4 linked regions of the Struthio camelus genome follow. The protein of the gene in region 1 purifies or fractionates together with the protein of each later gene. This does not show direct contact. Links are inferred from orthologs where the notes say so. Each region holds a gene or a part of one and is shown in the gene's direction. Other genes may lie near its edges. The genes, in order: ARHGEF12, GNA13, MYO6 and GIPC1.

What was found.
Region 2: the proteins of ARHGEF12 (region 1) and GNA13 purify together in Homo sapiens (affinity purification with western blotting; 3 studies listed by BioGRID). This does not show direct contact. The link is inferred for Struthio camelus from reciprocal best matches to the Homo sapiens genes ARHGEF12 and GNA13.
Region 3: the proteins of ARHGEF12 (region 1) and MYO6 purify together in Homo sapiens (affinity purification with mass spectrometry; 4 studies listed by BioGRID and IntAct, counting the BioPlex papers as one, with this or other methods). This does not show direct contact. The link is inferred for Struthio camelus from reciprocal best matches to the Homo sapiens genes ARHGEF12 and MYO6.
Region 4: the proteins of ARHGEF12 (region 1) and GIPC1 purify together in Homo sapiens (co-immunoprecipitation; 4 studies listed by BioGRID and IntAct, with this or other methods). This does not show direct contact. The link is inferred for Struthio camelus from reciprocal best matches to the Homo sapiens genes ARHGEF12 and GIPC1.

Annotation. Positions count from the first base shown.
Region 1 is NC_090963.1:3,848,612-3,856,413, forward strand, and holds the start of ARHGEF12 (rho guanine nucleotide exchange factor 12), read left to right. Parts: upstream 1-4,555; 5' UTR 4,556-4,969; coding exon 4,970-5,001; intron 5,002-7,802. UniProt on the Homo sapiens protein: May play a role in the regulation of RhoA GTPase by guanine nucleotide-binding alpha-12 (GNA12) and alpha-13 (GNA13). Acts as guanine nucleotide exchange factor (GEF) for RhoA GTPase and may act as GTPase-activating protein (GAP) for GNA12 and GNA13.
Region 2 is NC_090960.1:3,531,528-3,538,887, reverse strand, and holds the start of GNA13 (guanine nucleotide-binding protein subunit alpha-13), read left to right. Parts: upstream 1-4,046; 5' UTR 4,047-4,074; coding exon 4,075-4,435; intron 4,436-6,238; coding exon 6,239-6,465; intron 6,466-7,360. UniProt on the Homo sapiens protein: Guanine nucleotide-binding proteins (G proteins) are involved as modulators or transducers in various transmembrane signaling systems.
Region 3 is NC_090944.1:43,547,355-43,555,843, forward strand, and holds the start of MYO6 (unconventional myosin-VI), read left to right. Parts: upstream 1-5,454; 5' UTR 5,455-5,488; intron 5,489-6,061; exon of another isoform or gene 6,062-6,129; intron 6,130-8,489. UniProt on the Homo sapiens protein: Myosins are actin-based motor molecules with ATPase activity. Unconventional myosins serve in intracellular movements. Myosin 6 is a reverse-direction motor protein that moves towards the minus-end of actin filaments.
Region 4 is NC_090972.1:3,432,347-3,440,269, reverse strand, and holds the start of GIPC1 (PDZ domain-containing protein GIPC1), read left to right. Parts: upstream 1-4,761; coding exon 4,762-5,055; intron 5,056-7,279; coding exon 7,280-7,465; intron 7,466-7,923. Other genes in the region: DNAJB1 (dnaJ homolog subfamily B member 1), read left to right, coding at 1-303, 463-693. UniProt on the Homo sapiens protein: May be involved in G protein-linked signaling.

The DNA of each region.
Region 1 (7,802 bases):
AATAGATAGTTTCCATATCAATTTATGGTAAGTCTAAAGAATAGTGCAAGATACTGGTGCATTCCATCACCAGTTAATCGATCACCTGTAAGGAGCAAAACACTAGAGACTTTCAGTTCCACAGTCTATACCTTTTCAAATTACAAATCACAGAACTAGGAATAGAGTTAAGGTCAGAAAATTCTTCATCCACTAAATTTATATCATGGAGGTCAGAGAAGCTCAGCTAAATCACATCTGAGCTACAGCACACAATTTTATGAAGCTCTCCAGTCTTGACAGGGTCTGCAGAGGATTCATTGCACTCCGGTAAGTTCCTCTAATGGTTGAGTATCCTATTAAAAATGTTATGATGTGAAATTTTCATCAAACAAAAAAAATCTCTCTGGTTACGTTCCCTGTTTGTTCATACTCAGGTTAAAGTTTGAAGTATACTAGCTATCTGAGGCAAGGCAGCGTGATAGACAGCTGGCATCAGGGAGTAAAAACGTCATCAGTCTTGGCTTACTTCCTACCTCTTGTTTGCACTGAGCCTGTAGCAGGGCAAATCCTGATCAAACTGAACCCTGAAGTGGTCAGACTGCAGCAACCTAGAGCTCCCCAAAGCTCCAGAATCTGACACTGGTTTGAAATACTTGTTTCAAAAGCGGGGTGGGTGGGGACGTGGGCAGGACCTCGTTAAAATGTCCCTAGGACAAGTTTTAGATGAGCTGATACAAGGATTTGCCAGCAGATGGCAACAGGTCCTCGGGTGAGCTACTGGTATGAGGTTGGAAAACTCAGGTCTTTTCAAAACAACCTCAGTAAAACCTTTTTCCATAAGCATGCCTTTTGAGGAGACCCATATAAAGTACCTCTGAGGATCTCTCCTTTCCTGTGCCATCCTTTTCTTTAAAGCAAAGAAAGGGGTTACTGCTCATAGGACTCAACATTGTTCAGTTAAGGGTCCTCCTTATTTGAGTCACTTAGCTCTGTTCGGGACTGTGAGGTATATTCTGTGGGAACATTGCTACCTTGCCCGGGAGACGTAGACTGGTTAGCTAAATATGCATTTTCCACTCCTAACATCTATGTAGGTATGACTGTACTAACTATAAATTGAGGCTGAGGACCTTATAGCTACCAAGGGGGAAAAAAATATTTTAATTGATATTGCACAGTGTAATTGCATATTGGTTTTTTTTTTGGATTTCACGTTGTGAAACTGCCCAGGAAGCAGAGGTCTCATAAATATAGATGCCTATTAACATAAGTATACAATCAGCTCCCAACTAAAACCAGCATTCGCACAGAAGAGAAGCACTTATGGTACCAGAGTCTGCTTTTGAATTGTTTTATTAGTGCTTTTTCTTTCTAATTGTTGCATTAAACAGTGAAATGGGAATGCAGCCCGTTATGAGCAAGAGTTAATCTACTGAACAATATGGTATAAGGGTTTTATGCTTCCTCTTTGCTATCGATGTAGTTTTTTTTGTGAAGCTGCTTTTGACAATACTGAGCAAATTCTTTGGCAAACGGTGATCAGTGTCACTCCACTGACTTTGATGACAATTTACTGCAGCAGAGGTATGTTACTTTCTAGTTCCTCTTTCGCTCTCTGTCTGTGTGTGTGTGTGTGTGTATATATATATATATATATATTTGTATGTATATATTTAGGTTTTCCTCTGGCTGTTATTGTCATTATTTTGTCATGCACAATAAGATATAATTAAAGTAATAAAAGAGCATCAAGGCCTAATATGCGAGTGCCAGGCCTGTCATGGAACAGAAGCTCTCCTGGGAACCTTCCTCTTTCAAGGCACACTATTTGAAAACCAGTGAGTTAAAAGGGGATTTACTGCAGGGAAGATTCCCTTAACGCTGACCAGTGCTATTGCATGCTGCAGCAGTATTACAGACAGTCATGGTTGCATGTCTGGCACCCCCCTCTGTCTCTTCTTTCAAGCCTTTCCCAAAAGGAAACCAAGAGAGGAAGTGTGTGTGTTCTTTATGTCTGTGTCAAGTATCATCTAGCAAATGATTTCATCCCACGCTTCCCCCCTTTGCATTGTACTTCTTAGAAACAAATTCATCAGACTATCAGTCTCCTGACTTCCTGATTCACATTCGCTTGGTTCCCAGGAGGAAAAAGCTCTATGTTGTGGAGTGACAGGCTTCTGAACATAACTTAAAGCAAGGTATTGTCCTGTGTGCCTTAGTGATGTTGTAGCTGGTCTCGACTTTGCAGAGGCCTGTTTTCCAGACTGTTTCCAAATCCAGCCTCCTGAGTTGGAAGAAGCATATCAAGGTAAGGGTTGATTAAAGGAGAGCAGGAAAGTGTACTGTATGATTGGGGGCTAGCTAAAAAGATAGTTATGTTGGTCTGTTGGTATGTGGTAGGAAAGACTGATGTGAGCTCCCCGTCATGGGGTGCTGCATGAATCCTTTAGCTCCGGGAGACCACGCAGTGGTATCTACCCTCCCCGGCAGTGGGGCCAAGCTGACAATCCCCCGCGCTTTGATTAAACCCTTTTCACTTCTGCGGTGGGCATTAGCTTTAATTCCGGCAATGAGGGTAACCTGGAAGGTTCATGGACTTCTAGTATATAAATATTATTCCTTGGCATTTGAAAAGAAGAGCGCTTGGTTCACATCTTATTTATTTGCCCTTTGTGTTGGCAACAAGATTTTAGGATTAGGTAATGCACCTAGTATTCAGCTTCTGGTCTGTTATTACAGCCTGCTTCATGCCGTTCACCCATTGTTCGAATACATGTAGAGCTGAGACAGACGCTTCTCCCTAAAGCTCTGTTTATGTATAGCGTGGGTGCTGGGCAGTCACAGCAAGGCATCAGCAAGGACGTATTTCTGTTGAGAGCCGTGCCCGACTGGAGAGAGGCAAATCCGTGCATGCGGAGATTTTCCGTGTCCAGCAGGTGTGGTGACAGAGCGCCTGCTGCTCGCCGTTTCATACCGGTGCTCTAATTTGCCGTGTATTTCCTTTCTGTTAAAAGTTTTCTTGGTCGTGGTGTTTTCCACACGGCAAAGGGCGCAGGTCGAGCCCGGGAGCGCTCCCTACCCGGCCGAGCTTGTCATCAGCGTGGAGAGGAGCCCAAACACAGGAGAAAGGTTGCGGAGGGCGTGAGAGGAGAGAGGAGGGATGTCTCCGAGGTGGATCTCGGGGGGGAGGAGTGGGAAAGAGAGAGAAACATCTTTAGCGCTGATACTACGGGCCAAATTGGGGGGGAGAGCTATTAAAAAAATGGGTGAATGGAAGAAAAAGGGAAGAAAAACGCGGTTTGCTTGGAAATGCTGAAAGCTTTATCTCTGGCAGGGGCCGGCCTGAGGGGGGCTGTGAGAGGGGACCCTCTGGAGGGGGGAGCGCCTCGGTTTACATTAAAAGCCGTAATGGTGGGACGGTGGAGGTGGGGAATAAAACCCCCACGGAGCTCCGACGTGTGTGCTTGAGGCCCCGGGACACCGTGTTCGCTGTGCCCGGGGCCCCCGGGCGGGAAGGAGCCGTTTCGGCCCGGCGGAGGGGAAATGCGCCACGGGCCGGGCCGGGGCGGGGGAAGGGGGCGGCCGGCGGCAGCGCTGTGAGGAGACGGGGGGAGGGCGGGGGGAGACAGGCCCTTCTCGGCGCGCACTGAGGGAAAAGCAGAAAGAAAGCGCCCCTTAAAAACGCGAACGAACACACATACACCAAGAAAACAAGCAAAAAATAAAAATAAAAAAGAAAACGAGAAAATAAAAAAAAAAAACGGGCCGAAGCGGGCTAGGAGCCCCTCCGGCCCCGCCTCCGCGGCCGGCGGAGGGGTCTGGCGGCGGAAGGACACGGGCGGCGCGGTGTGAGGCGGCTCTGAGGTGAAAGCGGGGGGGGGGGGGGGGGGAGGAGAGGAGGAGGGGGCGGGGCGAACGCGGCGGGAGGGGCGGACGCGGCTCGGCCCGGCCCGGCCCGGCGCGACCCGCGCAGGCTCCGCCGTGGAGGCGCCGCTGGCTGGCCCTCGCCTCGCCTCGCTTGGTCTGGCTTGGCCGCGGCGCAAGGTGGGCCGGAACCGGACCGGGAGGCAGCAGCGGCAGCGCCTGGGCGGCTCTCGCGACAGGACTTTGCCCCCACCGGAAACCCCCCGGCTCGAGCAGCACCGACGGGCCGGGCCGGGCCGGGCCGCGCCCCGCCGTAGCTCGGGCCAAGCGGCGCGGCCGGGCATGCGGCGGGCCTAAAGGCGGCGGCGGCGGCGGTTTAGAGGGCCCTGCGCGCCCCCCCCGCTGCGGCCAGCCGGCGGGGCGGGGGGTCGGCGCGGGCCGCCAGCGGGACATGGGCCCCGGCGCGGCGGCCCCGCGGACACCGGCAGCCGGCGGGGCGCTCCGCCCGCCCGCCGCGGGCCAGGGGCCGTGAGCAGCGGCGGGGAGGGGGGGTCCCGGCGGCCGGGCGGCCCCCTCCCCTCCCCGCCCGGCACAGAGGGGCAGGCGGGGTGTCCCCGCATCCCCTCCCTCCCCCTTCGGCTGACGTTTCCCGACGTTTTCCCTTTTGGCCTGCGGCTTGCGCGAAAGTCGGGATTCCCCCCCCCCCCCCCCCCCCCCGGCGCACCCTCTTTGCAACTCCGGACCGTCTGAGGATTTATTGCTTTTGAAGACTTTCCTCCCCCGGCACGCGTTGTTTTTTTCCCCTCCCCTCTTCGTTGGGGGGTAAGGGGGGGTCTAGGGGAGCAGCTTGTTTTTTTTTGTTGGAGTTTTCCTTAAACATCCCTCCACCGTGATCTGGATATTCTGGGTGACTGCAAGAAGAGTTTTGGAGTTTTTCCCCCCCCCCTTCTTTTTTTCCCCCCCACCCCTTACCCTTGAACTGAATTTGTCCTCTGTGCATGCCTCTTCTGGAGCAAGGCTGGATCCTGAACCTCAGTGCATGCGGGGTGCAAAGCCTCGTTAATATTCCTGCAGTAATAGTAAAATGCAGATTGGATAATACGACTTCTTGCTAAAGGCTCCAATGAGTGGCACACAGCCCACAATCACGGACAGGTCAGTATGAAGTGATTTTACGAAGCCTGGGTGCTGCTCAGAGCTCCTGTGCTTTGTGTTCTGGCTTCAGTGACGGTGTCAAAGATCTCTGGTCAGAGGAGATCAGGAAAGCGGGATTAAATGGAGTTTCTGGAAAGCAATATGTATCGGGGGTGGCTGACTGTCAAGGCAAATGGGTTAACTTTGAAACTGAAGTATTTCAAGTCATACTACTTTCAAGCCTTCCAGCCTGACTGTAAGAACCAGAGACTCTATAATTCAGCTTCCAGGGCAGATTGATGCTGGTAGGAAAACCACAAGGAACTATGTGAAGTCAGAGCTGGAAAAGTGACAGAGTTGAGGATGCAGTTTGAGTCTTCAACCCGAAAACTTAATGGGGGATTATGCTTGCTTTTCTTTAGGTCAATGCGTTGTAGCCTTTCAAAGAGAGGTCACTTCAGGTGAGAGCGGGAAGGGTAGTTGATGAGCAGGAATGTTTACTGGTGCCTACAGTACCTTAGCAGTAATCTACTACTTGCTTTGGCTACCTGCTCAGGCCTCTGGACTTCACTGCAGGTGCTGCTATGTGCGGTTCATTAGCTGTCAGGAGTTTTCCCACTTGTACTGGGATGCTTCAGAGGCAGGTGAAAAAAAGGTGTTTTTTTTTTTTTTTTCTTTTCCTAATTGTGAGAAAAATGAGTCAAGTAGGAAACTTTCCTTTGAGAGAGAAGTATGAGTTCATGTCTAATTTTGATCTTTCTGGCTAGCAACAAAGATACCTTTTTGAGGCTTTTTAGCAAAAGAGACTTTTCCTTTATTATTACATATTTGTTGGTAACGGTGTCAATGTGTGTGAGACAAAGGCCTGCTTAGGCCTTAAATGTCCAGTATGGCCTGCATCTCTCTGATGCAGGAGGTACACTAGGCTCGGGACAGAAGGGTGATGCTTTTGGGTGCCTGAGAGCCTTTTAGCTTTCAAGCGTGGGCAGAAAAGAGACCAAGTTTAATTCTCATTAACACCAAGGCTTTTTCGTAACTCTGTAGGTCTTAAGAGGCAGTACAGTAATTGAGCAGTGTAAAGCAGCTGTAGTGCAAGTATCGTGTCTGTTCAACGTTCTTGATTGTACTGTTCTTAAACTATTAGAGCTGCTCTGAAATGAATTGTACTAGCAGAACATGTGACAGAAGAAAATGCCAACTTGTTTTTCTTTTTGTGGCCCATGTGCATGAACACTAGCAGATGTTCTTGAGTTCCAGGACATTTTTCTTCTGTACCATACAAGACAGTGATAGTAAAAGAAGATGTTTGAGTGGCCTTGTGAGACTTTTGTCAAATACTTAAGAGTGTGGGTCTTAAGACAGCTTGCAAGACATCAAAAGGAACAGCAGGGTTTTCACACCAAGAAGCAGTTGAGTAGATGCATGGGAAAGAAAAGCAGGAGGGCAGGGAATTTGCTTGTTAATAAAAACAAAATGCTTTCCGTTATTGAGTTAGAACAGACAAATTGAAAACGTAGCGGAGACAAAACATGTCTCCGTTTCCTGTTGCTTTCAGTCACATCCAGGGCATGTTTCTTCTTGGTGTTCCATTAAGGTTTTGATTCAAAAGACTTCAAATGTCAGGGAAAAGGGCTGTCTCCCCAGCTGTAGCAATCGGAGCTTTCTAATAGTAGGGTTGTATGATGGTTGGGGAGATGCAGGGCAGTCAGGTCTTGCCTCTGTGCTTCACCTCTGACCTGAGAGACTCCCAGCTCTAATGACGAGAAGGTGATTCAGTCTTCAGTCTCTTGACTGAGACTTTCAACCATGCTAAATGTGGCAGTGTGCGTGTTCTCATTATGTGGACCTCTGCTTACAAGAGTCTAGAAGAAGGCCACTTGTTTGTTTTATCTACAGCATTATGCATGATCTGGATAGAGGTGTGTTTTTTTTGTCACTGTTGTCCTAGCAGTATATTCGTGAAAAGCTTGCTTTCCCGGCATGCCCAAGAAACCTCTATATTGTCTCTTTAGATCCAGCTCCTAAACTTGGAATAGAAAGCAGGTGCAAACTCTGCACTTGCAATGTCATTAGATCTGCACACTACAAATCATATTACGTGTTTAATTCTCTCTTTATTTGTCAGTGACCCGCATTGGTGTGATCGAGTTGGGAACTGCCTTACAAACAAAACCAAAAAACAGCTTACATCCATGCCAAATGATATTATGAAGAGGGCATCATGGGCCTCCGTTTTTCTCCACATTAGCTTTACATACTTGCGTTTTACACTTGTGTAGCTGCTTAAATCCCTGTTACAGATGGCAAATATTTTCTTTTATATCCCTTTAGCTTAAAGTGGTTATCATACCATGTGTTTTGATAGCTATTTGACATTCCTCTTGTCCAGGTTGCATTTGTTCCATCTTTTACGTGTTTTATGTCTTCTGCGTTCTTGTTGTGTTGTTTATGATAGTTAAGTATTTGTAAAATAGGAGGAAGGTATGAATTGCCACTTTTACTGTTGCTTTATAGGCAATACGATAAACTAATTTTTTGTTAAACCCTCTCCTTTTTATTTTTCCCCAAGAAAGTTAACAGGTTGTATTAGCTGAGACTGTGCTGATACATGGTCGTGCCAATTCACATCTGATGTTTTTTTGGATATTTGTCTCTGTATATCAAACGGTAGCCCTGTTCCCTTTGGCTGTTCTCTATCCTCAAGTTGGATTCTGTTATCTAATCCAACTAATTGACAAGGCAACATAGTTTCTAATATCTTTTTCCTTCAATGTCTTAAGAGCCTTAGAAAGTGAGTGCCTTGGTGAATGGGGGAATACCAG
Region 2 (7,360 bases), on another chromosome or scaffold:
TTTCTGGGGAGATCACTGTACCTCACAGTGCCTGTTTTCTAATGTGAATCCAATGCTATTTATGTAACGGTATGTTTGCATGAATGTTCATGTCCCACACCTGTGGTATGTGATGCCATTGTGAAGATATATTCATGTGGTCCACGTACCATGCGGTGGCAATGCAAGCCCATGGGCCTTCCAGAGCATGCAGATCCCACTGTGCCTGTGCCTGGGGGCCATGAAACGCACTCTGACAGAGCAGGGTAAAGTCAGCACGTGTTGGATGCTGAATTATGCACTAGAGCCCACAGAGAAAAGCCACACCATGCCAACCGGGGGCACACCTCACACTGAACACACAACAGACCTCCACTTCAGCTTACTCCCTCTTCAGCTGCAGCTGGTCCCCTGTGTCATCTCCTGGTTGCAATACCCCTTGAATTGCCAGAGAAAGGTCCAATGAGACCTTAAACTTTGTCTCTCCATTCTCCTTCCAAAGTCCCTTTAAGTTAGCCTCATTCTTAATAGACCCATTCACAGCTCAGATGACGATTCTCTTTGCTTTCTCTTGTGAAAAGCATGGTAGGTGGAATCCCCCCCTTTTTTATAGATCACATTTCCTACGTGGTTGCCCTTTGTTCACACATCAGAAGTTCTGTCAGGCAACACAAAAGACATGTGGTGAGTAACTAGCTTTCTAAGGAAACTGGAGATGGTGGTGAGGGGAAGGAAGGGGCTAACGTAAATGCAGCAATGAGAATGGTACTGTGAGCACGTCAAGCACAGACTGAATTTCAGCACCTAGTTCCTTCCAGGAAGATTTCAAAGCAGTTTACCAAAAAAAGGTGGAAACTACAGCATGGAGAGACACATGACTTAGTCGCAAGTGCCGTTGCAAGGCAATAGTTAAAGCAATGTCTCCACAGTCCATCGTCCTATTCTGCTAGGGCACAACCACTGAAAATGAGGGGTTTTCTCAGCAGCCACGTGGGAAGAGCTGGGAGCAGGAATGGGCAGCAAGCATTCGTTTCCCGTCACTCTTGGACCTTCCAGGGACAGGAAAGCCAAGGAAAGAAATGGCAAAGAGGAAGGAAAAAAGCAAAACAGAGAAAGACCTTGTGCACCCTGCCTTACAGATGAGACCTGGCTGCTGGGGAGAGAGGATGCAGCTGGGTTAACACCTGACCCAGGACTGAGATATTTTGCTTTCCCTGCTGAGCTGGATAACATTGAGCCCACTTTAATGTCCTCCCCAGGGAACTCTGGTCATCCTCAGCTCAGGTTTTAATGTAGTGGGGAATAATCTTTCCCTCTCTGCAGCATGCTGAAGGCCATGTCCCTTCAACAGAAGATTGGGAATAGTACAGCTAGAAGATTTTGGAGGGCACAGTTGGGAATGTGGAGTGAAGGGGAGAGAAGCGAAGGTAGCGCTGGGAGGAGGCCAGTGACTACCCAGAAATGAGGTGCTCTGGACAGTTGAAAATGAAGAATGGGAGTCGTTGAGAATGAGGTGACAAACTGAGAGCAGGCAGGAGTGACCAGGACCCTGCGTTGAGGGGGACAGCAGGAAGCGGATGACTGGAGGATGATGGTTACACAGGGCAGCTGGCTGCAGGCAGCTGGAGAGAGAAGCCAGAGAAGGGGGAGGCTGTAGCAAAGTCACTGGCTGGGTGGGTGGATGAGGGAAAGTGAAGTGAAAGGAGGAAAAAGAGGAAGGAAAAGGACAAAACTGAGACTACCAGGGAGAACTAGATGAGAGGCTGAAGCAGCACTGAAAGGAAGCACAGGTAGCCCTAGGGGATGCCTGTCTGTTCTGACACAGTTCTGACTTCCAGCAAGGGATGGCCTGGGTTTGGAAGGTCATATTACTGTCAGGAAAATAGCCTTTACTCTTCTTTCATTCACCCCCTTTATCATTGCACCCCATGATTTTAGGTGCATCTCGCTGTTTGGCCCAGAAGGCAGACACAAGTCATCCTTTCCCAAGCTTGGCTGTCGTTATCTTTTCTGCTGCACAACCATGATTTTCTCAATCTATGACTTAGTCCGGTTTTCTTTGGTATACTTTACTGGTAGGAGTTCATCAGTTTCTCACAAAGGAGGCACCCAAAATTTGTTTTAATATTTTGGCCCTGACCTCTTTGTTTTTAACTCTCTCCTTCACTAAAAGGCAACAAATGTTCATTTCCCTTTTGGAAGAACATTAAACCTTTTGAAGGAAAGCACAAGTACTGTTAACAGTTTCCTTATGCAGACAAGAAGCACGCAATGAGAAAGGTTGGCAGGATTTTCATTTACTGAAAACTACTTAACTCCAAGAGGAATTGTAGGAGCTTGGGAGTCTTCTGCATTTCTGAAGATGAGATTCTCAGAGAACTGTGTCAAGCCAGCAAAGATCTCTTGGTTTTAAAACTTGGACTAGAGCTCAAGAATTGCTGGCTTTTGTTTCTATACTAAGACCACTAAGATGTGCTTCTTGGATGATTAGATGAATTTTATGCAACCACATCCTGCTCTCTTTTGATAAATGCTTTTTTTATAAAGATCATGTGGAATAACTCACATGGAATTTATCTCCTTGTGGGCACATCCCCTATATAAGGTGCAAACATTAATACTCATCACAGATTTTGAAGAAGGAGGGTCCTTGCAGTAAACAGGCAGTGACATTTTCTCATGTTAAGCTCAGCTAACAGTTTCCTCATTCATCTCTTCCTTTTTCTTTTTTTAAACTTAAAATTATTGTTAAGAAAAAGCATCAGAGCACTGAGGGAAGAAATCAGTAGGTGCCAAAGTCAAGGAGATGTAATAAAGGGAGATAAAAGAAATGTTTAATGTAACTATTGCATAGGCACTTGCATGTATATATGTGATTTCTGCAATATAGTCTATAAGTGGCCACATCAAGAGGAGCATGACACAGATGTACCATATTCGCAGCTGACCTACGTAACTCGCGTATGCGAGTTTTTCAGTCAGATGTGTCCTTACGTCTTCAGACAACAACCAACATGTCAGTGGGCTGCTATACGAGAGCAGTCTGATTTGACCAATATGTAGGACTAAGACTTCTCTGGATAGATTTGAACGACTGTATCAATAATCAAAGACAACGATCTTTTTGCCTTTAATATTATGGACCAGATCTTCAGTCAGTGTAGGCCTGTGGAGGCAGTGGAGTGCCATGCTGGTATTCGGTGGTGCGTTCGCAGGTTAATTTCTGCTCGTGATGCACAAATGGTAAAACAGAATCAACCGTCCTCAGGGGCGGTTCACACCAAGAGGGGATTTTCAATCCTTGCTTGTCCCTCAGCTTATTATTTCTCTATCCCACACGTAAACGTTTGCCATCCTTAACAAAGTATCCCTAGGAGAACCTTTAAACACTTTAAAGTGCTTTGTTTCTTATTAAGCTACGAGATGATAGAAAGTGCTGCTGGCTCTGTCTGCTTATGACCCCCGCGTGAAACTCGGCACGTTTTTCCAACGTGGTGGCACATCTCTTTGCAGAGGAGCGGACAGGAAGCGCATGCCAAATCGTTCAGAAGGTTGTACAGAAACGATTCTCTTTTTCTACCAAGAACAAAAACTGCTGAGCTGGCAGGCTCCATCCTGCACCCTCTGACCGAGGGCTGAACCCCCCCGCAGCCGCTTGCGCTATCCGCTTCCTGGAAGAGGCGCCGGGCCGGGCCGCCACCATGGCCGAGGCGTGCGTCCCTGCGCCCGCGCACCGGTTTTGGGGGGGGGGGGAAGGCCGGGCCTCAGTTTCCCTCAAGGGAGCACAGACTTCGCCTGCGTTTGCGGCTCTGGCAGCCGTGAGCGGCAGCAGCGTTCAACACGTCTAACCGCCGCCTCCGCCCTCCCGCCATTTCCTGTGAGGGCCGCTCGTGGGCGGGGCTCGCGCCGCGGTCACGTGACAGTCTGGGGGAGCCCTGCGGGTGAAGGGCGGGAAGAGGGGCGTCACGTGACGAAGGCCGCTCGCGGCGGCCGCAGGGCGGCAGCGGCGGCGGCGCCCACAGTCACGTGAGAGGGCGTGCCCGGCGGGAGCGGGGGGGGGAGGTGTCACATGGCGGGGCGGGGCGGCGGACGCGCATGCGCGGGCAGAGAGCGGGCTGCTGCGGGCCGGGCCGGGCTGGGCGGCCGCTCCCCTCGTTGGCAGTGCTCGCTAAGATGGCGGACTTCCTGCCGTCTCGCTCCGTGCTGTCGGGCTGCTTCCCCGGCTGCCTGCTCACCAGCGGCGAGGCCGAGCAGCAGCGCAAGTCCAAGGAGATCGACAAGTGCCTCAACCGCGAGAAGACCTACGTGAAGCGCCTCGTCAAGATCCTGCTGCTGGGGGCGGGCGAGAGCGGCAAGTCCACCTTCCTCAAGCAGATGCGGATCATCCACGGGCAGGACTGGGACCGGGCGGCCCGCGAGGAGTTCCGCGCCACCATCTACAGCAACGTGATCAAGGGTGCGTGAGGGCGGCGGCGCCCGCGGGGACGGGACGGGGCCGGGCCCCGCTGTGGGGTGTGTGTGGGGGGGGGGGTCGCGGCGCCATCCCGCACGGGCAGCGCCTCCCGTTCCCCCCCCTCCCCCCTCCACACACGCACCCGGGGCGGCGGGTGGCCCGGGCCGGGCCCGGCGGAGGAGGGGAGCAGCGGCGCGGCGCGGCGGCCGTTGCCGGTGGAGGGAGGGAGGCCGGCAGCGAGCGGCGGGGGGACGGGCGGAGCGCGCACCTGGCTGCGGGAGGGCGCGGCGCCGGCAACCGGGCTGACACATCCACTCGGAGGAACCCCCCCCCCCCCCCCCCGCGCAGAGCCCCGTTGGGAGCCGCGGTGCCGGGAGCCTGCGCACATGGCTGAGGAGCCGACCGCTGACTTCCCCGCTGTCATCCGCGTTTGCTCCCTCTTCCCTCCATCGCTGCCTTTGCTCGCCTGGCTTTCGAGCTGGACTGTGTCGCGTCCGAGCGAAGCCTTGACTAAGTCGCTCAACATAGCGAAGCGCTGTAAGACCCCCGGCCCCGAGTTTTGGGGAGGGGGGGGGGCTTGGGTATTTTGTGGCCTAAGTCCTGCTGATTCTGAAAGAGAATTGCTTTAGAAAACTATTTATAAACCAAGCCTATTTATAAATAGCAGGGTAGTAGCAATTATGAGCAGGTACATTAACCTTATTATGGTCTATTAATAAAATCAGGTAACTTTTACTCTGTAAAAGCACACAGGCAAGAACTGCAAATCTTACTTTGTAGCTACGTTCCTGCAGTCATAGGTTTTGACAGATGGAAAAGGCAGTGATTCTTGAAAAGATGGTACTGACGATGTTGAACCAGTGTGTTGTTATAGAGCCAGCTGTTAGTACATCTTGATTCCTTATGCCTCTCCCGTGCCTTTATGGTTGCTTGTTCTTTCTTCTGGAGTTTTCTTTTTATTTTTGTTTTTTTCCCTCACCATCATTAAATCTAGTACCAGAATTTATTTCCTTGCATTTGCGTTATCATTGCGTTATCAGCCTTGGCACAACACGATTTTTCTTTTCTTTCTTTCTTCCTTTTTTTTTTCCTTTGAAGTCCTGTGTAAAGCAGGTTTAAAATGTTCAGCTTCTACTAGAGAATATTTACTGTTGCAAAAAAGAAAAAAAAGTGTGACAATGTTTAGGTGATAAGATCCCTTCTGCACTTAAGAAGTAAAGACGTAAAATTTAGAAGTTGTGGTTTTAGTAAATGTTTCCTTCATAGCTCTGAAAATATTAATAGCAGTGGCTACTTTCTGCAAGTAGGTATAAGTAGATACCAAGCTCATTAGAATACAATGACTAGGAAACCTTAAAATAAGGCCTCAGATAGTTAAATATATTCTGAAATGAGCTTTTAGACGTGCTTCATTTGTCTTATTATTCCCGCCAGGTCAGTGTAACAGCCAGAAAATGGTTCTGGGGATCAGAAAAAAAAGTGTAAATATCTGTTAAAGAGTTTTGATAGCACGGATTTACTCACTAAAAGTAGTGCTTCTGCGAGAGTTGTACTGGTACTATGGATATTATGGTCGTGATCAGGGCTGTGTTCTTCTGGTAGCAAATATCTCAGGGGCTACTTGAAAATTTAATGCTTTGAGTCAATTTTGCAGACATTTCATTATTTCTTACTGTGTGGTTAGTCCTATTGAACTCTGACTGCACACGGAGTAAGTGCATTGTTCAAGTCTTTACAAACTTGTAGGCTAGTGAAACAGTAGATGCTGAGAAATTCTAATTGCGATGCTCTTTCATGTTGTTGAAGGTGTGAGAGTCCTCGTAGATGCCAGAGAGAAACTTCATATTCCTTGGGGAGATCCCGCCAACCAGAGCAATGGAGATACGATGATGGCTTTTGATACGCGGTCAGTCACAGTGGTGCAAGGAATGGTGGAGACAGCGGTTTTTTTACAGTACCTTCCAGCTATCAGAGCGCTATGGGCAGATAGTGGTATCCAGCATGCGTATGACAGGCGCAGAGAATTCCAGCTGGTAAGATTTGCCTTTCAGTGTTTTTAGTTGAGCGTGTATGATGTCTTGTATGATGTCTTGTTCCTATATTGCTTTTCAATGAAACGCTGATCAAGCAGCCTCCATGTGAATGTTAAGCGTGTTTGAATGGTTGAGTGTTACACTACGGTATTGTAAACAGATGTGTTTAACTCCTTTTTTCTTTTTTTAAACCAAGAATAATAAAGAGCTCTGACACAGTTGTCCTCGTTTCATGTGTGAGAGAACTGAGACACAGAGTTTTTAATTCCGTAACTAAGCTAGGAGCTGATGGCTAGAAGCTGTGTAGTGTGTTTACCATATGATTATTCTGACCCCTTGTTAAATAGTGTATTGGCATTAAAAAAACATTGGATTACAATAAAGAAAGGCTTAATAGTATTGTGATTTTTAAGAAAAGATATGCATGGGTTAATCAGAAGAATTTAAAAACCACTCCCTTCTCAATTCCAATTTGAGCTATCTTGCAAGCATTCCCTGTGTATACTTCCTGTTTAAATTTAAACGTGTATGTTAATTCTCATGTAATGAGGTTTTTGTTATATTGAAGTTCTCAGCTGAAGATGGAGTACACAGTTCAGTAGTGGAGTTTGAAAGAAAAAAGGAAACACATCTTGATTCTTGAGCTGGAGCTTAAACTGTCCCTTCACTCAATTTATATGTTAATGCTGCAAAAGGAGAGGAAGACTTTGTTACGCTTGCCGTTTATTCATTTGTAGACTTGCACAGTAAATTGCCAATGTTAAAGACCTTTTTAGGGGTGGGGCAGTTTGAGAACCTTAAAATAGATTAAATCTGATGTTCTGTTCTTGCAGAACTATTAAACCTAAGTGGCTTTATGTTTTAACGTCTTAAAAATAACCTTTGTGTTAGTGTG
Region 3 (8,489 bases), on another chromosome or scaffold:
TACTGCATCAGTAGTCTCCTTTTCTGGCACAGGATTATTTCTTCCTTCATGCAGCACTGGTCCCCAGCAGACTCTGCATAAGGCAAGGAGTTCTTCGAATGATGTGTCTAGGTGGGTATCAAGGACAGCATCTACATCTCTGACAGTGGATTTGTTCAACCAGCAATGTAAGTTAAGCTGGCTCTGCAGTGTATAACCTCCCCCCCCCACACACACACAAACACACACACATGCCAGTGATACGTGAGTAATTGGTAATTGCTATTCTGCGTATTATCCATGTGGCTTTTACTGGGTTCTAATTCCTATAATACAGATCCTCATAGTCCTTCAGACAAAATATCTGAAATGGTAGGGCCCATTCTACCTTTTATATTTTTACATGTGTGAGAGTGGGCCCACGGATATCTGTGCTAAAGAGATGTGTTAGCAAAAACAAGAGCAAATCCTTTTGCGGGACACATGGGGCACGTGTGCCTCAGAAATGGACTCCATGCATCCTGAAATACTGTGATGACTTTGAGGATACCTTCTAGCTGCTCTGGGCAACTGCAATCTCATTTTCCAGTTTTTGGTATTTGAGTTTATAGAAATGCTCTGTTCACACAAGTAAAATAAAAAGCAACGGACTTGAGAAAGGCTGTTAACTGATCAGTCAGGGGTACCTTTTACCTCTTCTTGCACTATTATTTAACCAAGTCTATTTTGCATTCCTTTCTTTTTTTTTTAACTACTCACAATTCAAAATAATCTATTTGCTTAGTCTTTATATATATATTATATATATTTATTATATATAATTTCAAATACATTCTTTAAGCAGAGGTTATTGAAAAATTGGACCAATCCAGCAGATTTACTTCCAGTCAAAATATAGACCTTCAGAAACTAGTCATACTATCGCTAAAGATGGAAATGCAGAACAATCAACCTTCCTTAACTAACATGCAGTCTGATAACAGGAAAGAAGAAACTACTTATGAACTGAAATGAAACAGTAGGACTTCAAATAGGAGCTGCTGCCTTAAGCCATATAATGTCTAATTTAATAGTAAGTTGAATGTATCAGTTGGAATACAGAAGGCCTGTGGAAAAGTCAAGGTGTTTAAAAAAAAAAAAAAGTTAGCTATAGTCAAAATAGGTGTTCACTTAAAGTCTACTGGGAATAAGGAAAAAGAAACCCAATCTTTTCACGGCTGTCAGAATCATAGCATTATGTATACGCCCGTAATACTAGGTGAAAGGGAGCAGATAAGACTTACATGCCCGTTTCCAGTAAACAGTTTTCATGTTAAGGAAATGAATGTCTCTTACCTTGAGTAAACGTCCGTGGAAAGAAGCCACAGATTGATTCTGAAAGGATTATGATCTTGGAATTGGTAAGGATACTATTGCTAAAATCCCAGTAATATTTTTTAATTTCTTGAACTCTTGTCTGTGACCATAAGCTGCTATGAGCCAGTTAGAAATGTTCTTTTGCAAACGTTTAAGTAAGCTATTCTTTGTCTAGATAAATAATAGATAAATTGTACTGGCAAGACTAAGTTGGCAGCTACAACAGCTACATTTGGAAACTCTGTACAGGTAAATCCATTTTTAAAACCAATAAGGATATGACTTGGATGTTTTTACTTTTCTAAAATGATTTTATGGAATATCAAGCCACTAAGCTGAAGCACTTGACAGTCAGGAAACTTCAACGCTTCGTATTCACGAGCTGTGAGGTGTTTTAGCATGACCAGATTACACAGATACAGTGTAGTTACATTATATTTATATACGCGTATGACAACAAAGCACTTTAAAGTGAATGAACTTTGGGCCATAGGAAGTCATTGGTTAGGTGCCCACGGATGTTTCTACAGGCAGAAGTTCACCCATTACAAGCTACATTTGGAACATGTAATCCATGAAGAAACTCAGCTAATTATAATACGATTTAAACGCAACCTTTCTGTGTGAAGAGATACATATAGTAAAGGCTTGTAGTGACTGTCAAGCCTGATTTTTACATTTAATTTCTCATAGTAGAGACTGGGGAGAGAAACTTAACTCTCACAATCCGTTTCATATTTACACTGGAAGGTCTAGATCTTGAGCAACAGAATTATACAGGAGATTTCACTTTCTTAGAAGTTCAGATACCTGACATACCATTTTAAATATTGTTTGAAATGAAAATAGGTAGAATATTCTCTCAAAGTTTTCCGGGAAGTCACCTGGAATCCTTTACCTACTTATCCTTTCAAATAGTCTGCAGTTCATCAGCTCTGACAAAATACGATGGCCCGTACCACATATATTTAAAAAAATGTGGCAAATCTGAGGGCAGAATGTGTTTTCTACCATCTGTAAGAAATGAATATTTAAACATAAATTTTTAGTATCTGGGTGAATTAAGACACCGTGGACATCTGGAATATTGTCAGTTCTGCCTGGCAGCGTACAGCAAAGCAGCGTGCGCCCGTACTGATGTTCTCGCTAAAATGGAGCATTGCCTTGTCTCAGCAATCTTTCTACCTTTGGTACGATCATGGGATGCCGGGTAGGCTGTCTAGTGTGTATCGTTTGCACGTTTAAGACGATACTGAAGTATGGTACTAATGTTTTGTTCATTACAATAGACTCTTGCTACCTGATAGGTACTGCGTACTACTGAATGAAAGCTACTCCTGCAAATCTCATCTGTGCGTTACCGCTTTTGAATGGATATTTCTCCATTACGGTTTCTCCCATGTGACATATTAAAGGCACAGGAAGAACTGAGTCACGGTAAAGGCACTCTGGTCTCCATTACAGCCATTAAACTGAATCTATGTCTTACAAATATCAGTAGCCTAAAATAGCCATCAAGTAAAAATTGGTTTGAGTTTCCACCCTAGCCATACTGTTTCCTGGTATTCTGAAAAATCTCAGTTGGACTGAAATAACAGAGGCTGGTCACACTTTCCTATGAATGAAATCTGGAATGCTCCCCCTTCATATACAGAAAGTGAGTACAGTAAAACACGTTTTTCTTTGTTTTCTTATTTCTTCTTTTTTTCCCTTTGTTTAGGTTGAAGTTCCTGCACTCATATTTTACTTTTGTGGGAATTTTCTTCTTTTTTTCCCAGAGGATCTACAGAACAAACGCTGCTGTGTCTTGGGTTATTTTTAGAATTCCCAGGGACAAAAAAGTGAGAGAGTAGACAGACGTGCTCCTTACCAGGAAGCGGCACAGTAGATCATGAGATACTCTTCAGTGCTGCATCACTTCCAAGGCAAAGTGGAAGTGATTGGCTTGTTTACACTGAAAATATTTTGTTGACCATTTCCTGCCATTATATCCTGTTTTGCTAAGAGGTTTTTTTTTTTTTAAATCAGTCAGTGAACTTATATTTTCGTTTAGTTTTCTAGTCATACTTTTTTTTCCAGGTAATTATTATCCTTATCTCTTTTGCAAATAAAAAGAAGACTGAACGTACAAAACACTGCGCCAAAAGATAGTGGGTTAAGTGGAAAGTGCCACTCCCCTTCTCTAGAAGTTTAAAATATTTTGATCTGTCAAACCTGTTAACTATTCTTAAATTGTATCAAATGAATATGCAACTGCCAAATTAAACTGTCACTTTGCAGACATGTATAGTGTTTTGAAAAACAAAATCAGCCTATAGCATGTTATATGAATTGTAGGAATGTTAATCAGGACAGAGCATTTACCTCCACCCGTGCTCTGCTCTGCCTTAGATGCCGGCTTACTCATCCAGTTTGTGTACTCCCATTTTCACTTCCACGTGTACTTCCATGCTATTCTTTGACAGAATCCTTTCCCTGGAAAGCTCCCGGGGATTTCTGTTTTTCCCTAAAGGAAATATGAGGTTTTCCAGACACTCAGAAAGGATCCACCTGAAAATACCATGTCTAAAGAAAAGTAGCCAGGGACATAATGTTAAGGGAAAACATGAGAGATTTTGAAGTGTGAAGTAGCTAGATTCACTCTGTCAGCAAAACACACAAGACGACTTTATGGTCTTGCAGTGGACAGCAAAGAGGCTTTGCACATACAGTCAGGATAATTATGCTGTTCATCAAGTATTGCATGAAGAGAAGCAAAGTTTTTATGGGAAAATTGAGAAAGAAGTGGATAATGTTAGGAACGCTAATAAAACTAAGGGAGAGGGAAGTGATACAAAAGTACAGTATACGTACTTAAGGAGGGGTGGTTATATGCGTCTCTGGTGGTGTGACACAAAGTTTGACGGAACGCTCTCCAGCTGGGCTGCTCTCCTGAGTCACACCAACGCACTGGTGACAGTCACTGGCATAAGCAGCTGGGTGTGCACGGGTGCAATAGAAAATCTCCACAGCAGCTCGGAAAGCCAATGGAAATACTGGTGTGCAGGTTAGCAAGTGTGCTGCCTTGCAGGTGCATCAGACTCAGGCTAGACAGGGCCAAAGGCAGGCAGACACGACTGTCACTGAGCAATAGGTGCGATCTTAGCCTCTCCGTTTTGTGCAAAATTCAGCAATATATACCTGTGGCTCCCTAGAAAAAGGGTTGTCATGGTAGTGAAAAGAGCAGCACCTAAACAAGACGGGGATTTACGAGAAAGGATGTTTTTCAAGGAATCTCTGATTTTCAGAATTTCCACAGCAGCGGAGCTGCCATCTACTGCATATCTTTCTTTATAGTGTGATGGTTAATTAAAACAAACATGAGAGGACCAGTGAAACTTCGCTTTATTTCAGTTTGCTTTTGCTTTGAGATTCTGACATACTAGTATGAAGTTGAAGCATTTATGTTGGCACTTAAGTGAAGTTGCTGATGAACTCTAGTATTTGAAATGCAAATAGAAAGCAAAAGAGGTAAGTAGCAGCAAAAATACTGTTTATAACAGAGTACATTGAGACAGCCTGACTGAAATCAGAGCTAAAAGGTGTTAGACACTGCCCAAAAATAACTCAGAAAAAAATGCATTCATTGAATTCTATCCATACGCATCAGGAGATACAACTTTGTGGACACAGTTATTTCAGCATAAAAATGCTGTGACATGCCTGAAATTTCTAAGAAACACATGCGATGAACGGAAACCTGACTCTTTATGTAATGGCATTGGTTCAAAAAAACCTAGCCGCATCTCCACCCCTCCCCCCCCCCGGCCAAAAAAAAAAAAAATAAAACCAAAACCGAACCAACCGACTAAACACCACTTTCTGGTGCAAGAAAGAAAAAGCCAGGTGAGACCTAAGAGACATCCCCTGCACCAGAGGTCATCCACCCGCTCTAAGGGCAATGCTGCTTCCTGAATGCATCGCCAGCCCTTTCCTTTACTCCCGAAGCTTTAACTCAACCCTTTCTCCTCACGGTATTTTACCCAGGCCGGCGACATGGCCCCCACGTGGGGCGCGGCCAACGGTCGCCAACGGTCGCCGCCCGGCGCGCGGCCCGCGGCAGCCCGGGCGGGCACCGCCCCGGGGCGGGGCGGAGGCAGCGCCGCGCCCTCAGGTGAGGCGAGCGGCGGGGACTGTGCCCCGGGGCCACCGACAGGCCCTTTTTTTTGGGGGGGGGGGAGGGGAAGCCTCCCCCTTAGCCGGGGTAAGGCAGGTAGCGCCCGCTCGCAGGCCACGGACGCGGGGCGGCTCGGCTTGGCCCGGCCCAGCGGCGGCTTGGTGGGCAGGGGGCGGCGGGGGGAGACCCCCGCCTCGCCCCCCGCCCGAGCCGAGGGAGGGGGGAAGGTGTGGGGGGGGGGGTGCGCCAGCGGGCCTCGCCCGCTACCGCCCGGCTCAGCGCGGGGCCGGGGCCGGGGCCGGGGCCGAGCCCTGCCCTACGCGCAGCGACCTTGGCGGCTACGGAGGGGCTCGGGGCGGGCGGGGTCTCCCGGAGGGGCAGCGCCGGTGCTGCGGGCAAGGCCGGCGGGCCTCAGCCGCGCTTCGCTGGCGTCGCCGTCGCCCCTTCCCCCCCCCCCTTCTCCTCCTCCCCCGCTCCGGCGGCGGCCGCCCTCGCCGCGGAGCCTCCGCCCCCGGCCGGCCCCTGTAGCGCTGACGTCCCGGGCGGTTCGCCGGCCCGAGCGGCGGGGGGGGGGGGGGGCGGCGCAGAGCAGCGCGGCAGCGGGGCCAGCCGGGCGCGCAGCGCCGCCGCTACAGCAGGTAACCGGGCGCCGGGCCGCGCTGTCCCGGTGCGGGGCCTGGCGGGCGGGCGGGTGGGCGGAGGGGGACAAGCTGTTGCTGCCGCCGCCGTCACCCGCGGCCGGGCCCCGCGGCGGCGGCTTGTTGCCCTTCAGCCTTCCCCACTGCGTCCTCCCTGCCCCGTGCTCGGCGGGCCGGGGGGGTGCCGTCCTTCTGCCCCCTCCTCCCCCCCCGCGGCGGCGGCGGCGGCTTGCCCCGGCGTCCTGCGTGTGCCCTGCCGGCGCCTCCTGCCCGGCCCTGGCAGTCCCCCCCCCGCCGTGGGCCGCGCTGTGGGGCCGGCGCCGCCCCGCCGGTGGCCAGGTGCGGGCGGCTCCTGCGGGAGCCGCTGCCCGAGGGGAGCCCCGCGGGCTGGCTGCCTGCCGGGGCAGCAAAGGCTGCGCCGGCGGTGGCCGGGAGAGTTTGGTAACTCCACGTTTGTAAAACGCTTCCCAAAGGGGCGGGAGGGAAGTGGGGACTTCCCGGAGCGCCGCTGCGTGCATAGGTGCCCTCTGATATTAAACGTAGGCATTAGAATAATATGCAGTACTTCTTTAAAAGTTTAGCAAGCTTAAAACAGAGAAGGGTGAATACTGCAGTGGAGAGGATTAGAGTTCGAAGCAGGAAACGTTGAGAACAGAAGCTTCAGTTGCATTCAGTAGATCTCACTTCACACATCTCCTTAATTAAACAAACGTATTACCATTAAGGTGGGAGAAGAAACACAAGGGCGCAGGAGGCGTCCCAGGCAGTCAAGTGCCGGCCCTGAGGTCTGCAAGCTTACCTGGAGCCAGTAGCTTCAATTGAAAGCTTTTAAATGTATATGTGTAATCAGGAAAAGTCCTTCTAGGTGCTTTCCTGACTGCCCCCTTTACGTTCTTATCAGGATGGTTTTTTAGCATAGCCAGACCTTCCTTATTAGATGCAATCATAGATTAAAACGCTTTTCCTTTACATCATGAAATGTCATTGAACTTTCTTGTTCCTTTAGTATCATCTCCTGTAAAATGCTGTATGTGCTAAATTCCACTGGCTTTCATTTTAATTCCTCTCAATTCAAAAACATGGCTGTGTCCCTGTAAGAGAAATGAAATTTTTTACAGTATTGACATACTCCAGAGCATGACTTGTACTACAGTTAAAACACATCATCTGTTGAAGCAAATTCCTCTTGAAGTACGTTTGCAGACTTCAGTTTTGGAAAGCAGTGTGCATAAGCATGACAGACTACCAAAATCTATTTTTTAATTTCTGTGATTTGTATGTATTACTGAATAGGAAAACTTCAGTAAAAATATTCTTCCCCTTAATCTGCCATCACTTGAGTACAATTTATACGGTATGATATTTATTGTTGATGCTTGCCTGATAGTTGGTAGTCAGATTCCTTACTAGTAAATCCTAATGCCATCAGAGACCCATAAAATTAAAATAGGTATATTAACTACAGACTACAGATCGCATGAATTACCAGTTATTTCACTTAAATATTGCTGATTGTGTCAGCCCCCCCCTTTTTTTTTTTTTTTTAACAAAGGTGGTGGGAAGTAGAATGTCATGTCATCAAAATTAGTGTCTTGGCTTGCTCATGGAAGGAAAAGAACGTTCTTTGAAGTGATCTAATTTCTCACGGCTCAGTTGACATTATTAGGCTGTAAAATGGCCTATGAACTTGGTTAGCATTCAGCAGTGTACAAAGGTTGACAGCAGAGTAAGTTTTCCTTTTGTTACAAACGTGACAAATTAACAGAGGGTAAGAGAAACAAGATCTGAAGTTAAGTGCAGTCTGAAGTTTGTCTTTTCTAGAGAGAAGAATGCTAGGAAAAAAATCTGATAACAGAAGTGATTTAAGGATTAAAATTATCTTAGCGGAAGTCTGAAGGTATAAACAAATATCTTCTTGCAATATTTGTTTAAATATCATTGTGGAACTGTGCTAATGCACAAGATAATTGTGAAGTGTACGTTTTATAAAATAACTGCAAAGAAAAGAGTAAGTTTATTGTTAGAGCTGGGAGAGTAAATGTGAAAACTAAGTGGCATAGCAGAAGGTAAAAACCTTTCCATTGCTTTCATTAAAATAGAAATTAAATTTAATCTCAACTGTTTTCAGTAGATTTTTTAAAAATGCATGTAAATTAATAATCTCTGTTTAGCAATAAAGTACGGTTATGCCTTTTTGAAAATATAAAGCCAACAGAATGAATATAACAGCAGCTATTAAGCCTTGCAGCAGTCTTTACTATCTGAATTAAAAAGCCTGACAGAAGTGACATGCAGAAATTATAAATATGTACAATTGTAAAAAATAAAACTAATAACCCATCCCTGTATTTCTAACTTGA
Region 4 (7,923 bases), on another chromosome or scaffold:
GTCCTCTACGATCTCAAGGTCTCCCTGGAGGAAGTTTACACCGGCTGCACCAAAAAGATGAAGATCTCCCACAAGCGCCTCAATCCCGACGGCAAGACGGTCAGGAACGAAGACAAAATCCTCACTATTGAGGTCAAACGAGGTTGGAAGGAAGGAACCAAGATCACCTTCCCCAAGGAAGGAGACCAGACGCCCAACAACATTCCCGCTGACATCATCTTTGTCGTCAAAGACAAACCGCACAACGTTTTCCGCAGGGAAGGCTCGGACATTATCTACCCGGCTAAAATCAGCCTCCGTGAGGTGAGTCAAGGGTGGCCGGAGCTGCTGTCGGCCCCGTTTTGGCCGCGGGATGAGGTGGGGGGGGTGATACGGGTGATACCGGCGGTTCGACCCCGTGTGACGGGGTGCTTTCGGTGACCCGACGGTTGTTCCGTAACGCCGTTTATCTCCCCGCTTCAGGCCCTGTGCGGCTGCACGGTGAACACTCCCACGCTGGACGGCCGCACCATCCCCATGGTCTTCAAAGACGTCCTGAAACCCGGCGTGAAGCGGCGCATCCCCGGCGAGGGCTTACCTTACCCCAAGACCCCCGAGCAGCGGGGCGACCTCATCATCGAATTTGAGGTCAAATTCCCTGACCGCATTCCTCCTGCTTCAAAACCCATCCTGGAGCAGGTCCTGCCCATATAGCGCCTCCGCTTTAAGGACTTGGCTAGAGCTCGAGGTGTGGTGGTTTCTTTTATTTTCTCTTTTTCGGGAGGGGACCACAACTGGGACTTTCGGGGTCTCTTTAGCAGCACCTCCCTTGGGGGGGGGGGTGTTTGCACCCCCTTGTTTCCCCGAGCCGAAGGGCGATGTCCAAACTGCCGAGCGGCCTCCGACGGCTCCGCTGGAAACTCCCACCGCCTGGATTTTCGTCGTGCGGGTCCAACCCCGACTTCCGGGCCACCCGCTGCCCCCCGACGATGGTGGCTCGGAGCCCTCCGGTGGTCTTCCCCCCCCCCCCCTTCCTCCTCCTCCTTTCCCTCCCAGCGCGGGCTGGTCCCTCGTGTCCTGGCTCGGTGGCGAGGAAGACTCCGGTGCCTCGGGCTTTTTCGGAAGGCCTCTTCCGCCTTCGCATCCGTAGCACAACTCTGGTGTTATCCTTTGCGGATAAAAAGGGTGTTTGTTTGTTTTTTGGTGTTGCTCCTGGAACAGGAGCGCTCTTGGCACTCGTGTACAGATATTTTTTTGTATAAAGCTCTGTAAAATTGATGTGTAATTAGTAAAAGTGAGACGGATGGCTCGTTTGTGTGTGGGGGGGGGTGGTGGTGGTGTGGGCCTGGGAGCTCGGCCTGGGATTATGGGGATTAGAGGCTGCGATGGGGGGAGGGGGAGTGCTAAACTGAGGGGAGCTTAAGGGGATTGGGGGGGAGGGGGAAGGAGGAGGCTGATTTGGGGCTGGGGCTGGGAATTCTGTTTCCCCCCTCCAAATTGGGCCATTTCCAGGCTTTTTTTTTCCCCCCCAAATTGTAGCATCTCAGGGGCTGCAGGGTTCCCACTCCCAAACTGTACACTGCCCGCCATGTTCCATCAATACACCCGCCCCGGGCCAAATTGCGCCGGTTCTGGGGTTTTTTCCCCCCAAATCCTACTGCTCTGTGGCTTCCCCCCGCTCTCCACCCTCCCCGCCTCGCTGCCGCCTACGGTTCCCAGCGTTCCCCCGGCCCGGCGCCTGCAGCGCGGCATGCTGGGACTTGTAGTCCGCGCCTCTGATTGGCTCCCCCCGACCCCGTGGGCGGGCTCGCGGCCGAGCAGGGCGGTGCCGCCCGCGTGCCGGGGCCCGTCCACCGCCCCCGGCCGGGCCCGTTTCCTGGAGCCGCCCCGCCCCGCGCGGGGGCTCATTGGCCGACGGGGCGGTGTCGCTGAGTGGTGATTGGCCGGCGGGGCGGCGCCGCTCCGCCATGATTGGCCGGCGGGGAGGCGCTGGCCACGCCCCTCCCCGGAGGGTCAGGCCCGGCAGCGCCCGGCTGGAGTTTGCGGAGTGACGGGCCCGGCCCGGGGACGCGGACGGTGAGGGGGGGCGGGGGGGGCCAGGACCGGCGGGGGGCTGAGACCGGGGGGGCACCGGGACCGGCGGGGGGCTGAGACCGGGGGGGGGGGACCGGGACCGGGACCGGCGGGGGGCTGAGACCGGGGGGGGGCCGGGACCGGGAGGGGGCTGAGACCGGGGGGGGCCGGGGCCAGGGGGACCGGGACGGGGGGGGCTGAGACCGGGGGTGGACGGGACCGGGACGGGGGGGGGCTGGGACCGGGGGGGGAACCGGGGCCAGGGGGACCGGGACCGGCGTGGGGTTGAGACCGGGGGTGGACGGGACCGGGACGGGGGGGGGCTGAGACCGGGGGGGAACCGGGGCCAGGGGGACCGGGACGGGGGGGGGCACCGGGACCGGGGGAGGGAACCGGGACCGAGGAGGGTGAGGGGCGGGGGGGGCCGAGACTGGGGGGGGGGAACCGGGGACACCGGGACTGGGGCCCAGGGAGGCGGCAGGACGGGACGGGGAGGGGAAACTGGGACCGGGGGGGAACCGGGACCGGGGGGGACACCAGGACTGGGGGGGGACACCGGGACTGGGGGGGTCACCAGGACTGGGGGGGGACACTGGGACCGGGGGGGTACCGGGGCTGGGGGGGCACCAGGACCGGGGGGGGCACCAGGACTGGGGGGGGGTACCGGGGCTGGGGGGACACTGGGACCGGGGGGGGCACCAGGACCGGGGGGGGGACACCGGGACCGGGGGGGTCACCGGGACTGGGGGGGGTACCGGGGTTGGGGGGACACTGGGACTGGGGGGGGCACCGGGACAGGGGGGACACTGGGACCGAGGGGGAGGGAACTGGGATTGGGGGGGACACCGGGACTGGGGGGGGACACCAGGACCGAGGAGGGGACCAGGACGGGGTTGGGGGGGGGGGACCAGGACTGGGGGGGGTGGAAATGGGATGGGGGGGGGAACGGGGACAGGGGGGACACCAGGACCGAGGAGGGGACCGGGACGGGGTTGGGGGGGGGGGACCAGGACTGGGGGGGTGGAAATGGGATGGGGGGGGGAACGGGGACAGGGGGGACACCAGGACCGAGGAGGGGACCGGGACGGGGTTGGGGGGGGGGACCAGGACTGGGGGGGGGGTAGAACTGGGATGGGGGGGGAACGGGGACGGGGGGGACACCAGGACCGAGGAGGGGACCGGGACGGGGTTGGGGGGGGGGGACCAGGACTGGGGGGGGGTGGAAATGGGATGGGGGGGGGAACGGGGACAGGGGGGGACACCAGGACCGAGGAGGGGACCGGGACGGGGTTGGGGGGGGACCAGGACTGGGGGGGTAGAACTGGGATGGGGGGGGGAACGGGGACGGGGGGGACACCAGGACCGAGGAGGGGACCGGGACGGGGTTGGGGGGGGGGAACCAGGACTGGGGGGGGTGGAAATGGGATGGGGGGGGGAACGGGGACAGGGGGGGACACCAGGACCGAGGAGGGGACCGGGACGGGGTTGGGGGGGGACCAGGACTGGGGGGGGGTGGAAATGGGATGGGGGGGGGAACGGGGACAGGGGGGGACACCAGGACCGAGGAGGGGACCGGGACGGGGTTGGGGGGGGACCAGGACTGGGGGGGTAGAACTGGGATGGGGGGGGGAACGGGGACAGGGGGGGACACCAGGACCGAGGAGGGGACCGGGACGGGGTTGGGGGGGGGGGGACCAGGACTGGGGGGGGTGGAAATGGGATGGGGGGGGAACGGGGACAGGGGGGACACCAGGACCGAGGAGGGGACCGGGACGGGGTTGGGGGGGGGGGAACCAGGACTGGGGGGGGGTGGAAATGGGATGGGGGGGGAACGGGGACAGGGGGGGACACCAGGACCGAGGAGGGGACCGGGACGGGGTTGGGGGGGGGGAACCAGGACTGGGGGGGGGTAGAACTGGGATGGGGGGGGAACGGGGACGGGGGGGACACCAGGACCGAGGAGGGGACCGGGACGGGGTTGGGGGGGGGGGGGACCAGGACTGGGGGGGGGTAGAACGGGGACGGGGGGGGGAACGGGGATGGGGGGGACACCAGGACCGAGGAGGGGACGAGGACCGGGCTGGGGGGGGGGACCAGGACTGGGGGAGGGGTAGAACTGGGATGGGGGGGGGGAACGGGGACGGGGGGGACACCAGGACCGAGGAGGGGACCGGGACGGGGTTGGGGGGGGGGACCAGGACTGGGGGGAGGGTAGAACGGGGACGGGGGGGAACGGGGATGGGGGGGACACCAGGACCGAGGAGGGGACCGGGACGGGGTTGGGGGGGGGGGACCAGGACTGGGGGGGGGTAGAACGGGGACGGGGGGGACACCAGGACCGAGGAGGGGACGAGGACCGGGCTGGGGAGGGGGGACCAGGACTGGGGGGGGTAGAACTGGGATGGGGGGGGGAACGGGGACGGGGGGGACACCAGGACCGAGGAGGGGACCGGGACGGGGCTGGGGGGGGGCTGGAAATGAGACTTGGTGGGGGGGGAACCATGATTTTGGGGGGGGGGGAGAAGACCAGGACAAGGAGGGACGCCAGGACCGGGGTGGGAGGGGGGGGGGGGACACGACACCCCTCCAGGCCACACACCCAGCCTCCCGCCCCCGTGCCTCAGTTTCCCCTCTCCCCGCAGCCCCCGCAGAGCCGCCGCCGCGTCCCCCCCCCCACCCGCCGCCGTCCCCCCCCCGCCGCCGCCGCCGATGCCGCTGGGCCTGGGCCGCCGCAAGAAGGCCCCGCCGCTGGTGGAGAACGAGGAGGCGGCGGGGGGCCGCGGCGGCCCGCCGGGCTCGCCCTTGGGGGCGGCCGGCGGCGGCGGCCCCCCGCCGGGGGGGCTCCTGCCGCCGCCGCCGCCCCCCGCCGCCGCCCTCCGCCCCCGCCTCGTCTTCCACACGCAGCTGGCCCACGGCAGCCCCACGGGCCGCGTCGAGGGCTTCGGCAACGTGCGCGAGCTCTACGGCAAGATCGCCGAGGCTTTCCGCATCCCGCCCGGCGAGGTGCGGCTTTGCGGGGGCGGCGGTCGGGGTGGGGGGGGGGGGGGCCAGGATGGTGTCGGGCACCCCCGGGGTGCTGGGAGGGGGCTCAAGGCTCAGGACGCTTGGGGACGGGGCACCCAGAGGTGCTAGGGGGAGATTCGGGGGTCGGCATGCTCAGGGATGGGGCGCTCTGGGTGTTGGGAGGGGGGTTCAGGGAGAGGGCACCCCGGGGTGGGGGGCTCGGGGGTCAGGACGCTCCGGGATGGGGCACCCCTGGGTGTTGGGAGGGGGTTCAGGGAGAGGGCACCCCGGGGTGGGGGTCTTGGGGGTCGGCATGCTCAGGGATGGGGCACCCCTGGGTGTTGGGAGGGGGTTCAGGGAGCGGGCACCCCGGGGTGGGGGGCTCGGGGGTCAGGACACTCCGGGATGGGGCGCTCTGGGTGTTGGGAGGGGAGTTCAGGGAGAGGGCACCCCGGGGTGGGGGGCTCAGGGGTCAGGACGCTCCGGGATGGGGCCCTCTGGGTGTTGGGAGGAGGGTTCAGGGAGAGGGCACCCCGGGGTGGGGGGCTCAGGGGTCAGGACGCTCCGGGACGGGGCACCCCTGGGTGTTGGGAGGGGGTTCAGGGAGAGGGCACCCCGGGGTGGGGGGCTCGGGGGTCAGGACGCTCCGGGATGGGGCCCTCTGGGTGTCGGGAGGAGGGTTCAGGGAGAGGGCACCCCGGGGTGGGGGGCTCGGGGGTCAGGACGCTCCGGGATGGGGCCCTCTGGGTGTCGGGAGGAGGGTTCAGGGAGAGGGCACCCCGGGGTGGGGGGCTCGGGAGTCAGGACACTCTGGGATGGGGCACCCCTGGGTGTTGGGAGGGGGTTCAGGGAGAGGGCACCCTGGGGTGGGGGGCTCGGGGGTCAGGACGCTCCAGGATGGGGCGCTCTGGGTGTCGGGAAGGGGGTTCAGGGAGAGGGCACCCCAGGGTGGGGGGCTCGGGAGTCAGGACACTCCGGGATGGGGCGCCCCTGGGTGTTGGGAGGGGGTTCAGGGGTCGGGATGCTTGTGGATGGGGCACCCCTGGGTGCTGGCGGAGGGCTGAGGGCTCGGGACAGTTGGGGACGGGGCACCCGTGGGTGCTGGAGGGGGGCTTGAGGGTTGGGACACTCGAGGACAGGGCACCCCTGGGTGCTGGAGGGAGCTTAGTGGTCAGGACAGTTGGGGACAGGGCACCCCTGGGTGCTGGAGGTGGGCTGAGCACTCGGGATACTTGGGAACAGGGCACCCCTGGGTGCTGGAAGGGGGGCTTGAGAGTCAGGACGGTCGGGGATGGGGCACCCTTAGGTGTTGGGGGGGTCTTGGGGATCGGGACACTCGGGGATGGGGCACCCTTAGGTGCTGGGGAGGGTCCTGGGGATCAGGACACTTGGGGACAGAGCACCCCGGGGTGCTGGGGGAGAGAGGGCTCAACGGGCAGGGTGAGGGGATCCTTGGGGTGGGGAGGGGGACAAGAGGACATTGCGGAGACCAGGGGGAGAGGAACGGGGGTGAGGGCAGCACCCGTAGGTGCATGGAGGGGGGGGGGTCCCACGTGTCCCCAGTGAGGGCGTCCCCGAGCAGTGGGATCCCATGTGTCCTTGGCGGGGGGGGCCCACAGGTCTCCAGCAGGGTGTCCCCAGGCAGTGAGGTCCAACATGTTCTGCAGGGAAGGTGTCCCCAGGGTGGGGATCCCCTGTGTCCCAGGGGGTCCCACGTGTCCCCAGGACAGGTGTCCCCAGCAAGCGGGTCTCGTGTGTCCCAGAGGGTCCCACATGTCCCCAGGACAGGTGTCCCAGGGCTCCTGTGCACCCCAGGGCAGGTGTCCCCTGGAAGGGGGTCTCATGCATCCCCAGGGAAGAGGTCCTTTGTGTCCTGGGAGCTCCTGGGTGGCCCTGGGGTAGATGTCCCTGGGAAGGGCGACCCACATGTCCCCAGGGTCCCATGTGCCCTCAGGGTAGGCGTCCCGAAGAAGAGAGGTCCCTTGTGTCCTCAGGACGGGGGTCTCGTGTGGCCCCGGAGGAGATCTCGTGTCTCCTGGGAGGTCCCACATGTCTCCAGAGAGGTGGTCCCCAGGAAGGGGGTCCCGTGTGTCCTGGGAGGTCCAATGTGTCTCCAGGGAGGTGGTCCCCAGGAAGGGGATCCTGTGTGTCCTGGGAAGTCCCACGTGTTCCCGGCGTGGGGCTCCGGGTGCCCCTGCACCGCTGACGGCCCTGCCCCACCCAGGTGATGTTCTGCACCCTCAACACGCACAAGGTGGACATGGAGAAGCTGCTGGGGGGACAGATCGGCCTCGAGGACTTCATCTTCGCCCACACCAAGGGCCAACGCAAGGAGGTCGAGGTCTTCAAGTCCGAGGAGGCCTTGGGCCTCACCATCACCGACAATGGCGCCGGCTACGCCTTCATCAAGGTGCGGGGACGACTGTCCCACGTGTCACCCACCCCGGGCCAGCTCCCACTCTCCTGGAGAGCCTCAGGGTGAAAGGGTGACCTTGAGTATTCTGGAGGGGATGAGAAGGGACTGTCCTACTTGGAGATGCATAGGGACGCTTCAGGCGGTCCCTGAGGCACCTTGGGGGGGACGCCAGGACGTGGTCTGACTTTATGGGGGGACACAGGGACACCCCAGATGGTGCCCGAGCCACTCTGAGCGGGAAGTGGGGGGAGCATCCTGGGCCATCCCAGGAGGACGCAGGGACGTCCTAGACGGTCCCCAAGCCACCACGGGGCTGGGAGGACTTGGGGACATCCCATACTGCCTTAGAGGGACGTGAGAACACCCTGGACTGTCCCTAAGATGGTGTGGGGGTTGGGGAGACCTGCGGGTGTCCCAGACCATCCCAGAGGAACATGGGGACACCTCAGCCT